Linked DNA regions of Macaca fascicularis. The protein of the gene in region 2 interacts with the protein of the main gene of each other region in a pairwise test. Links are inferred from orthologs where the notes say so. Each region holds a gene or a part of one and is shown on either strand. Other genes may lie near its edges.

Region 1 (5,690 bases), on a different chromosome or scaffold from region 2:
AGCTGCTGTTTTCTAAGTAGAATTGTTACAGACAACCTAAATAACAGCCGTTAGCCACCGTTTAGACAATGAAGAATACATGCTAGAAAAACACAGGTTGTTAATAACTCTTTAAGGAAAGAAAATTTGATAGAAGTTGGCTTTTTGGAACTCCTTGCTACAGACCAATATTATGAAGGAGGACAGAGTCTCAAGCCAAAAAAGGCCCAGTCTACTATATAATTCAGAATATAATAGAGCCAAGTTGAACTATTGAACACTACAGAATCTAAACACCATAAACCATACGGTTTCTCTGTAAAAGTAAATGTTGGGTTCTAACTGGTCAGGCCTGATACCTACCTTCCCCTTTGCCATTCTTTCAGTACTTCCTTCTGTTCCCTTCAGCACTTTCCTCTCTCAGGAATGGGCTAACAGGTTGAGAGAGGCTTTTATGAGATGTATAAAAAGACTTAGGAGAAAATAAAATCTGACAGTTGGGGTAAGGTAGTAATATGTTGATTAACAATAATATATCAACAAATGTTAACAGTCACTATGTCTGGCAATTAATTATAACTTTTTTACTCTATTTTTTATTTTTCTTATTTCAAAATTGATGCAGAAGTATCCTGATTGAAAACAAAATGTCCCCCAAGTGTTAATAACCATTATCTCTGGACAGTTAATACAGTTAATTTTCAGTCTATATATAATTTTTCTGTAATAGCATGTAAGTTCTTATTTGTTTTATTAATCATCAAAGTATAGACCCCACAGGCAGCAATAGCTTGTGGTATCTCTGAAAGAAGGCATGATGGAAACTACTGCTATTAAGTAGAGGTCTGTAAATAGAAAATGTCTGTGGTAGATGGTGAGATAATAATAATTACTACACATTCCAAGCTTGATAGTCTTCAGTACTTAAAATCAAATCTTATTAAAATGTTAGTTAAGATAACATTCTATAAAGCTATAAAATCATAAAAAGGAATGACAATTTCAATCCACATTTTTGGTAAAACACTTCCCATTTAACACTATTTTATTTTGGATTAAAATCAAGATCCAGGGAACAATTTGTTGTATGCATTTCCTTTTTATGAGATTGGCTCTGGAGCTATTAATACAGTAACTGATCAAACCAATTACATCTACAGTGTAACAGATTTAAAGAAACTGTATGTGAGAACTTTTACCCAAAAGAATAACCCAAAACGAGCTGTACCTTAAACCAAATACAGCAGGTCCTCAAATAACATCATTTCCTTCTATGTCATTTTGTTATAACATTTAAGTATGTGTGCAGCTTGAATGTTCTCTCCATATCTGTGGGACTCTCGTTTCCTCCCATATCCCAAAACTGTGCACATTAGGTTCACTGGCGTGTTTAAGTTGTCCTGGGTTGAGTGTGAGTGTGTACATGAGTGTATCCTGTGATGGAGTGGTCTCCTATCCAAGGTGGGTTCCTCCCTCCTTGACTGCTGGGATTGGCTCCAGCCACCAGCACCCCAAACCAGAATAAGAGGGTTGAAAAATGAATGAACGGATGAATACAAATTATTATCAAATAAAAACTGGTAAAGTCTAGGGTGATCATACAAATGCATGACAATAAATGCTATGGCACAAAAGCACTCAGAGATCCCACTGTATTTCTCAAACATTGATTCCATGTTTTTAATTGACCACCACAATCACTGTTACTCACTGATTCACGAAATACTGGGTAATTATCTTTGTTGGCTTTTTTTTTGAGACAGAGTTTTGCTGTGTCACCCAGGCTGGAGTACAGTGGCATGATCTGGGCTCACTGCAACCCCTGCCTCCTGGGCTCCAGCGATCCTCCCAAGTAGCTAGGATTACAGGCACATGCCACCAGCCTAGCTAATTTTTATATTTTTAGTAGAGACAGGGTTTCACCATGTTGGCCAGGCTGGTCTCAAACTCCTGACCTCAGGGGATCTGCCCGCCTTGGCCTCCCAAAGTGCTGGGATTACAGGCGTGAGCCACTGCACCCGGCCTATCTGGTTTTTATTAATCTTTCTTAAATGTACATATAATTCATATTTCTCTCAACGTTTAATATTAGAAGTGTTTGGGTCTTTATTGAGAAGTTTGGTGATGTTCTTGTGACCAGAAATGTGCTATAGGAACTTACCTCTTATTTACATCAATCAGCCTAGGGTAAAAATGGTTTTGTTATATGTTGTTTTGCATAAAGTCTTGGTTTCCAGGAACTTATGGATGACACTGAGGATTACTGCAATACTTGTAGTAAATTTGGGAGAAAAAGGCAAAGACTGAAGTTACTACTCCTAACACAAATGAGACTGTCATGTTGTGCCCCATCAAAAAAGGAGAAAGAGAGACACATGGAAACACATGCGCACACACACACACACACACACACACACACACACACACACACAGAGAGACAGAGAGAGAGACAGAGAGAGAGACTATAGAAACACTTGATGTTATAAATAACAATAGTGCTGAGGAAGATGAATTAATACAACATTGTATTTTTTGTCCTGATAATAGGTTACATATATTATTCTAATCCATTTATTATTTTTACATTCCAGGCTACCTAAAAGAAGACAGTTATCTCATATTTGGCTACCAGCTTTTTATCTTTCTCTCAATCACTTAAAACTTCAGACTTCCTCTCCTGCTGGTATCATGGAGAAAGTCCAATACCTCACTCGCTCAGCTATAAGAAGAGCCTCAACCATTGAAATGCCTCAACAAGCACGTCAAAATCTACAGAATCTATTTATCAATTTCTGTCTCATCTTAATATGTCTCTTGCTGATCTGTATCATCGTGATGCTTCTCTGAAGTTCTGCTACAACCTCTAGATCTGCAACTTGCCACATCAGCTTAAAATCTGTCATCCCATGCAGACGGGAAAACAATACTGTAAAACAGACCACTTCCTGAGTAGAAGAGTTTCTTTGTGAAAAGGTCAAGATTAAGACTAAAACTTATTGTTAGCAAATGTATTCATCTGCTGGATCTTGTAAACATGAAAAGGGCTTTATTTTCAAAAATTAACTTTAAAATAAGTGTATAAAACGTAACTGTTGATTTCCTCAACATGGCTCACAAATTTGTATCCCAAATCTTTTCTGAAGATGAAATAAGAGTTTAGTTTTGAAACTGCACTGCCAACAAGTTCACTTCATATATAAAGCATTATCTTTACTCTTTTGAGGTGAATATAACTTATATTACACTGTAAAAGCTTCTTTAATACTATTTTTCAAGTCTTCACCAAGTATCAAAGTAATAACACAAATGAAGTGTCATTATTCAAAACAGTCCACTGACTCCTCACATCTGTTATCTTATTATAAAGAACTCTGTAGTAACTCTTTGTAGTAACATTCTAAAACAGAAATTGCATTTTTGCTATGCCACATTAACATTTTTTAAAGTTGATGAGAATCAAGTATGGAAAAGTAAGGCCATACTCTTACATAATAAAATTACTCTTAAGTAATTTTTTCAAAGAATCACAGAATTCTAGTACCTGTAGGTAAACCATAAATCTGTTCTAAGACATATGATCAACAGATGAGAACTGGGGGTTAATATGTAACAGTGAGATTAGTCATATCACTAATATACTAACAGAATAGAATCTAATCTTCATTTAAGACACTGTAGTGAATTATCTGACCTAGAGTTACCTAGTTTACCACGCTGTATCTTTTGAATCATGAAACCTTAAGACTTCAGACTGATTTTACAGGTTGTCTTCCATTCCAACCTAACATCCAATGCAGGCAAGGAAAATAATACAAGATTTCCAGTGACAAAAAATTATATTATCTCAAGTATTTAAAAAAAATAAAAATATGAATTCTCTCTCCAAATATTAACTAATTCTTAGATTATATTTTGAAATGAACTTGTTGGCCCATCTATTACATCTACAGCTGACCCTTGAATATGGGGGTTAGGGGAGCTGACAATCCATGGGTCTGCAAAATCTTAACTACCTAATAGCCTACTGTTGACCATAAACCTTACTGATAACATAAACAGTAAATTAACACATATTTTGCATGTTATATGTATTATACACTGTATTCCTACAATAAAGTAAGCTAGAGAAAAGAAAATGTTATTTAGAACATTGTAAAAAAGAGAAAATATATTTACTATTCAGTAAATGGAAGTGGGTTAACATAAAAGTCGTCATTCTCATTGTCTTCACATTGAGAGGAGGAAGAGAAGGAGAAAGACGGGGAGGAAGAGCAGAGGTTGGTCTTGCAATCTTGTCTTAGGGGTGTGGAGAGTGGGGAAAAAGAATATTCATGTATAAGTGGACCCTCGCTATTCAAGCCCTTGTTGTTCAAGGGTCAACTGTAACAGGAGATAGCTATTTTTCTTCATCTATCAACCAAATGGCAAGCATCTATTTCGTAGGCCACTCTACTGAGCTTAATTATAGATGCAGCAATGTTACCTATAATTATTTTCTTGATGAATAAATTTTCAATTTCTCCTCTGATCATTTCAGAACATCTTCCAATAACTCATAAAACAACTGAAGTAAAATTTAGTGCTGGAAAATATGTTCACCAAACTTAGGTTAAAATTAAGTTTAAAATAGTTCACACCTATACTGCATAATCCAACAATTTTAATTTCAGTTGAAGACATGTTACTAATATAACTATTATTAAAAGAGTAGAGGATGTGTAATTAACCATATCTTCTAAAACATGATTACTAAAAGAATATATAACATCAATATTGACCTTGGTTTCTTACACAAGTGTTGCTAACTCAATAGTGAAGGAGACACCATTAAATTTTCTGAACCCATGAGAGGTACTGGAGATGGGGAGTGGAAAGTGTTTGGTTCAGGGATATCTGAAGAACAGAAGGGCAGAGATTTCTTAAGTGACGCCTCATCTACAAGCTGGAAATCCCTAATAACAAGTAAAAAGCTTATAAATAACAGGTGATACACTCAACTCACTGGTTTTAGTAAATTACCAACACAAAAAGTATTCAAGTTCTATAATAAGCTGCACTGGTCTTAAAAACAAGTGGAAAATTTGAACGGATTAGTCATACTCCTATGATTACATTGTTCATTACAATCTTTTTCTCAGTAAACAGAAATAACTAATTTTTTTGTTCTTCATTCTTTGATAAAAATTAAAATCTTATTCTGTGAGGATTACAGAATACTATAACTCAAATTATGAAGTAGAATAAACTCTTTAAATAATTATTCTTTATCACAAAGTGTAAAGAAAAAGATACAAGAAAACAATTTATTTTTAAAATTTAATATACTAAACGCTCAAATATGTTCTACCATAGAATAAGTTCTTATCTTAATTTACAGGGTACTAAAAACAATTTTAAAATGCTTAATGTTACCTTTTATATTTTAATTGGATAAGAATATATATTTGTTTAATGCAAATCAGAATCACTATATTAAAATGAAGGTTCTTGAAAACTCAGTGAAGCTGCTCTACAATACACTTAGAACTGATACTACCGATAAAAAAATTCTAATTTTAGTTTTGATTTTACAGGGGTTTTGTTTGGTGACTTTCCCCAAATAAAACAAAATCAAGATGCACAAGTACAGACACACAAGGGGGCAGACCTATATAAGATAATGAATTGCTACTACACAGACATTATTTATCTTTTGATTATTTTTGAGTCTT
Region 2 (6,350 bases):
GTGTCTTGCCAGGATCATTTTTCCTCATTCCACAGGAGACCCCAGGGTCACCATAGCCAGGCCCAGTAGTCAGCTGAAATAAGCTGCCAGTCAGACCTATTCACCTGAGCCTCCAACTCCCCAGCCACCCCAGACACCTTGTCGGCTCTCAGACCACCTGGGATCCGGACCTGAAGAGTTGAAGAGTATGTCCTTGAAAAACAGCCAGCCAGCTCCAGGCCCAGCCTAGCCTGGGCGTCTGCCTTAATGGCCTGAAGAGCTCCTCCCAGTCTTTGAGCTTCCTAATCTGTCTCTATTGGCAGGTTCTGCTGCCTTGCCTTGTCTCATCTCAGCCTCCCTCGCCACAGCTGTGTGGCCACAGTGATAAATCTACACAGCTGCACAGTGCTTGATGGCTTGCAGGGCAATTTTATATCCATCACCTCATTTGATCTTTAGACATCCCTGTGAGAGAGGCCAGACATTCTTATAATCCCCATTTTACAGTTAGGGAAATGAGGCTCAGAGGCATTACATTTGGTTGAGGTCACATAGCTAGCAAGCGGTAGAGCTACAAAATCATATTACCCTCTAGTAGAAACGTAGTCAGTAACATCCCAAGAGAGGGGAGAGGGATCAGAATTGGATTACAATAGAAGACTAGAAACCAGGATGGAAACATGGGACCGGTGACTGAGCAAGCAGCCATTACTCATAGTGACTACTCTCTATCCTTCTCATCCTGCCAGCCAGCTGTGGTGCATCTACAGGGCCAAGGGTCAGCAATTCAAGTCAAGAATGGTAAGAATCAAAATAGGCTCTCTCCCAAAGAGGAGCTTCTCCCCTTCCTCCTCCCCAACCTCCAAATAATCACCCAGCCTAGTTCCTCCCAGGGCCCTGAGGTACCCTTGGCATACGAAGTCATTCTTTGCTCCATCATGCCCTCTACTGGCTGTCCTGAGCAATTGCTAGCATCAAGACCAGTTGCTACACCCAAATTGCATTTAGAATCACTGATTACGGAGCTGAAAGGGACTTGAGACATCATCTAGCCCAGGCATTCTCAGGCGATGGAGTTTATATCAGAGCCACCACGGAGATATGTGTAGTTAGATTAATATTTTCACAATACAAATTATAGAAAGTAAAACAATGTAAAATTAAATTCTTCTTGTCTGATGGATCTACGCAGATGGGCAGACGGGCTGCTTCTCTCAGGGCAAGTGGGGCATGTTGGAATCTCCAGGGAGTTGAAGATGCTAGTGTCTATCAAAAGGGAGAATGTGTTTAATGGGTTTAAGAAGCACTGATTTATCGTAATCCCCGCATTTAACAGATGAGGAAACAGAGTCCCAGAGAGATTGGATAATACATTAATAAATCATGCTGCCTCATTTTGTATGATACTTTAGAGTTTTCAGCATGCTTTCTTTGTCTTTAATTTCATCCAGTCCTCACAACCACCCTATGAGGTAGGTATGAGCTCCTTTTTACAAAGACAGAAAGTGAAGTTCAGAGAGGCTAATTAACTTTCCCAATATTTCTTAGTCAAGTTCGTTTAGGAGCCAGGATTCAAAACTACATCTTTCTGACTCTTTCCTCTCCCCTATGCTACTTCAGTGATATGTATGTACACTCCACTGAATGATAAGGTTCATTTTCTTCCCCCAAAGAGACATGAACATTCATGAAAGAACAGCACTTTGGAATAATGTCCAGTCCCCAGAGTGCACAAAGCCTAAAATGCGTGAACCCCCAGGAGCCTTGGGAAGCAGCAAGCTAACCAAAATGCTAGATGCTTACAGAGCTTGGAGTGGAAGGGAGGGGTTTTGAGTACAGAAACGGTAAAGGAAGGTTAAAAAAAAAAAAAACAGCTACCTGGGGACAGTTTCTAAGAACTCAGTCAGTCCTGAACTGGCTGTAATGAGTTTCCTTAATGACTGTATTTAGTTACTTCCCTGACTGCCACCTCCATGTCTGACTTAGTAGCCTCAGAAGTGTAAATAGGAAGAGAATGGCACCAAAACCCAATTGGTCCTGCTGGGGACCGCAAGGCCCTGAGTGGGCCATGATCCCCACCTGTCCAGGGAGGCCAGAGACAGGCCAAAATAGATTTGTTTGGGTATCTAGACAGATAGTGTTTCTTCTGTGCCAGCAGCCACTGATTTTGCTCCCACTGCCACACAGTAGGATTGTTTCCAGCCCCTCTGGGCCAATCCTCAGAAGTGGTCTGTGCTGACCCTTAGTACTACCAGAAGAAGTGATGGGGGTGGGGTGCAGTGGCTCACGCCTGTAATCCCAGCACTTTGGGAGGCCGAGGGGAGCAGATCACTTGAGGCCAAAATTTGAGACCAGCCTGGCCAACGTGGTGAAACTCCGTCTCCACAAAAAATACGAAAATTAGCTGGGCATAGTGGCACGCACCTGTAATTCCAGCTGCTCGGGAGGCTGAGACAGGAGGATCACTTGAACCCGGGAGGTGGAGGTCGCAGTGAGCCAAGATCACACCACTGCACTCCAGCCTTGGTGACAGAGTGCGTGACAGTCCCTCTCAAAAAAAAAAAAAAGAAGAAGAAGAAGAAGTGATGGGGTCAGGGATTGGAGGACGTCATGCAGAGTGGTCCACTGATGGGACAGAGCCAGGGCAGTTCCTCCTAACTCCCAGCCCGTCTACTTACCACCTCAAGGAAAGATGGTCACCTTTTCCAGAAAACCTGTTTCCTCATCCCTCAGAGAGACAGGCCTACTGAAACTGACCAAAGATGGACTTACAAAATATAATTTCTTGGGTGCAGGATGGATGACTTAGAAGGGAAAAGGCTCCCTGGGCTTGGATGTCCTCCTCTCATGGTGGGAAGGAACATTCCTCTTCTGCAGGATGGAAAGAGAAGATTTTCCTCCACCCTCACACGCTGGCTTCCACTGTCCAAAGGAATGCGACTGCCCCTCCACCCCTGCCTGGGGTGGAGCTGAGACAGATGTTTTGCCAAGGGTGCCTCGGCTCCTATCCTCCCGGCTGGCTCTGTTGCAGCCTGCCAGTCTATCTTTCACTCTCATAAGGATCCCTCTCACCTATGGGGCCCTGGTACTGGTGGTCAGTAGCCCCAGCTGCCGTGGAGTCTGAATCATCTCTAATCCCTAAGGTTCTCCAGATAGACAGTGGGCTGAGTGGTTTCCTCCCAGGGAGGCTTTCCAGAAAGCTGTGGGTGTGGAAGAACCATAAAAAAAGAATCTCTTAAGGAGAAAGAGAAAACCCATGAACCTATGAGACAAGAGGAATTCAGGAGCTCTGACTGGGAAAGTAAAATTGAATAATAAGACCTAGCCTGCCACTCAGTGTCTGAATTTTGCCTGTGCAGGCCCCATAACAACAAAGAAAATAGGGCAGCATGCCCACTCTCATCCTCCTCCGGCAAATTCCAGCTAGAAGGTAATGGTTAAAGACCCTTCCAGATGCAAGGGTCAAGAAAGGAAGTATAAAGACAGACAGGAGCCCAGGAGCCCTGAAGCAGGCCTGGCAGCTGCTTTACAAACAGAACAGCTTCTCTGCTTTCAAATGCTCTTCTTAAAGTTTGGCCTTCTACGCTACCCTGGTTGCACTGGGATAGGGTTGGGGGTCGTGAACTCCTTGGTATTTATTTTCTGTTGCCTCGATTATTCTGACATGTACTGAGTGACTGCCCTTCTCTCATACTGAGATCTTTCAGGTGGAGTGCTCAATGACTGGTCTCGCATCACTATGAACCCCAAGGTGTTTAAGCTACATCCCCGCAGCGGGGAGCTGGAGGTACTGGTGGACGGCACCTACTTCATCTATAGTCAGGTAGAAGTGAGTACGGTCTTAGGCCTAACTCTTCTTATATCCAGAATGCAGATCCGGTGCAGACCACATAGGGGCACTGTGGAGCCAGCCAAGACCATCCAATGGCTAACTTCCTGCTTTGGGTGAGGGGGTGGGGGGACCGCACTGGGAGGGAGTTGAAAGAAGGAAAGAGAGAGGAGGCCAGCTTGTTTTGTTTTGTTTTGTTTTGTTTTGTTTTGTTTTGTTTTGTTTTGTTTTGTTTTTCCCTAGCCAAATATTATTGAAAAACTGTGAAAAAGGCCCCTCCTACATTCTGCCATCTGATTCCCTCCTGCAGGGCCTCAGGCCCCTGTTTACCCTCCGAGCTGTTTGGCTCCACTGCCAAACTTGAACTTGGTCTCAGTATATTCTTTGAAAGTCAGTTCCAGGGTTACTGAGAACCCCTCCCCTCAACACTGCTGGCTCGGGCGTTATAATGAATAGTGCTCCTGCAGACTTTCTTTCTACCTCAAAAAGATTTCTGACTGTCTTTCCTTCCTCTTTCTCCCATTTGTTTCCCTATCTTTCTATTCCTCTATTCTTGCCTCCTTCCTGCTGTTATTCTCCCAGCCCTTTCTCCCTCTGCTTTTGTCCTCTTCCTGCCCTGGGCCCGCTCCCCAAGTCTGCCAGTGTCCATCTACTTCCATTCCCCGATTGTTTGCCTCCACGGGGATGGCTCCTTGGAGATAGAGGAAGATGAGCCATGAGGTTGGGACTTTTGTGGGGTGGGCAGCAAGCAGGCAGGTGGGCAGAAGGACTATGGAACCAACACATGGGTGTCACAGGAGAGCGGCCAGCAAAGGTGGGCTAACAAGCATTTGCTAGGCACACTGAGCACCCCGGTGTAGCTTGGGTCCTGATCCATATGTGGCACCCAAATATGCTGTTCCCAGCTGAAGAGCTGATGGAGGGAGTGACCTTTCATAAAAAGATTTACAGTGATATCTGAGAGTCCCAACACCCGTGGGGCACATGGGCATAACCCTGATGTCCTATGAGCCAAGCTCCACGTGGTGGGGGCAGTGGGGGCGGTGGTGGGGGAGGGCAGATCACAACTTGGTGTGAGGTATGATGGATAAGGGTAGTGAAGGATGGAAAAATTAATTTTCTGAGCCTAGGAGAGAATTGAGAGTGGCCCATGCAGGCTGGGAAAATCCCCATGACATTAGGCCACTGAGCATAAGTTAGTGCCTCCTTCTGGCCACAAAGTCAGGGGCCTGGGCTTTTCCAAATTCTTTGTCTTGTTTGCGGTAGCTAGCTCTCCATCTCTCTGGACCTGTTTCCTCAATCATCAAATGGGAGGCTCAAGGGGTACTGTGAATCAGTGAGGGGAGTCCAGGCACAGGGGAGGGGTGGTGCAAGCTGAATAAGCTTCTGTTAAGGAGCTGAAGAAATCGCAAGTTGTTATATGACCTCTCTGGGGAATCAGTGACTTCTAAGTTTCTCCACAAATAGTCCGCGGGGCTCAAGAGTGGAAGTCGGTTTGTGTCTACGGCACTGTGTGCACACCTGCTATGTGCAGGGCACTCTGCTTCGTGTCAGAGCTGGGGCAGGGGCGGGTGGGGGTACAGGGGCACGGTGAAGCTGCAAATAGGGCATGGTTCTTAGCCTTACAGAGTTTACGACAGGTGTGCTGTTGTAAGAAAGGTTTGCTCAACCAGCTGAGCCCCATGGACTAGGGGAAGGGCAATGCATCCGCCTGTCACCCTGCCTTTCCTGTTGGCCAGCTAGCACGCCTTCACATGGCACTGCCCCATCCATGGGGTATGCTGGCAGCTCATCTGAGAAGATTCTGTCAATTCACCACAGGGAGGGCCCCCCACCCTCTCTTTCCTCTCTTCCCCAATCCCTTCTTGTTGCCTCTCACTCAGGTATACTACATCAACTTCACTGACTTTGCCAGCTATGAGGTGGTGGTGGATGAGAAGCCCTTCCTGCAGTGCACACGCAGCATCGAGACGGGCAAGACCAACTACAACACTTGCTATACCGCAGGCGTCTGCCTCCTCAAAGCCCGGCAGAAGATCGCCGTCAAGATGGTGCACGCTGACATCTCCATCAACATGAGCAAGCACACCACCTTCTTTGGGGCCATCAGGCTGGGTGAAGCCCCTGCATCCTAGATTCCCCCCATTTTGCCTCTGTCCGTGCCCCTTCCCTGGGTTTGGGAGCCAGGACTCCCAGAACCTCTAAGTGCTGCTGTGGAGTGAGGTATATTGGTGTTGCAGCCACAGAGAGAAATGCCTCAGTGCTATTTATTCCCCAGTGACTCCAGGGTGACAAGGCCTGCTTGACTTTCCAGAATGACCTTGAGTTAACAGGACAGTTGATGGAGCCCCAGGGTTTACATGAAGCAGAACCTTCTTTGGTTCCATGTTGACTGGCTTATGGCATGACTCTTCAACCCCGAGGTCCCTGTTGTCAGATCTATTGTTTGTTGCACTAAAATGAGGATCCAGGGCAGCAGGCCAGAGAGAGCAGAGGTGCACTCCAGACTCTGGGGGTGGACATCTGACCCCAAGGGGCTGCT

Evidence for each region. The genes of interacting proteins can lie anywhere in the genome.
Region 1: the proteins of EDA (region 2) and PLN interact in binary tests that used the Homo sapiens proteins (3 or more experiments, as listed by UniProt). The link is inferred for Macaca fascicularis from reciprocal best matches to the Homo sapiens genes EDA and PLN.

The regions. Positions count from the first base shown.
Region 1 is NC_088378.1:22,494,370-22,500,059, forward strand, and holds the end of PLN (phospholamban), read left to right. Parts: intron 1-2,570; 5' UTR 2,571-2,667; coding exon 2,668-2,826; 3' UTR 2,827-4,187; downstream 4,188-5,690. UniProt on the Homo sapiens protein: Reversibly inhibits the activity of ATP2A2/SERCA2 in cardiac sarcoplasmic reticulum by decreasing the apparent affinity of the ATPase for Ca(2+).
Region 2 is NC_088395.1:76,784,946-76,791,295, forward strand, and holds part of EDA (ectodysplasin-A), read left to right. Parts: intron 1-728; coding exon 729-780; intron 781-3,677; coding exon 3,678-3,808; intron 3,809-4,390; coding exon of another isoform or gene 4,391-4,510; exon of another isoform or gene 4,511-4,625; intron 4,626-5,691; coding exon 5,692-5,943; 3' UTR 5,944-6,350. UniProt on the Homo sapiens protein: Cytokine which is involved in epithelial-mesenchymal signaling during morphogenesis of ectodermal organs. Functions as a ligand activating the DEATH-domain containing receptors EDAR and EDA2R. May also play a role in cell adhesion.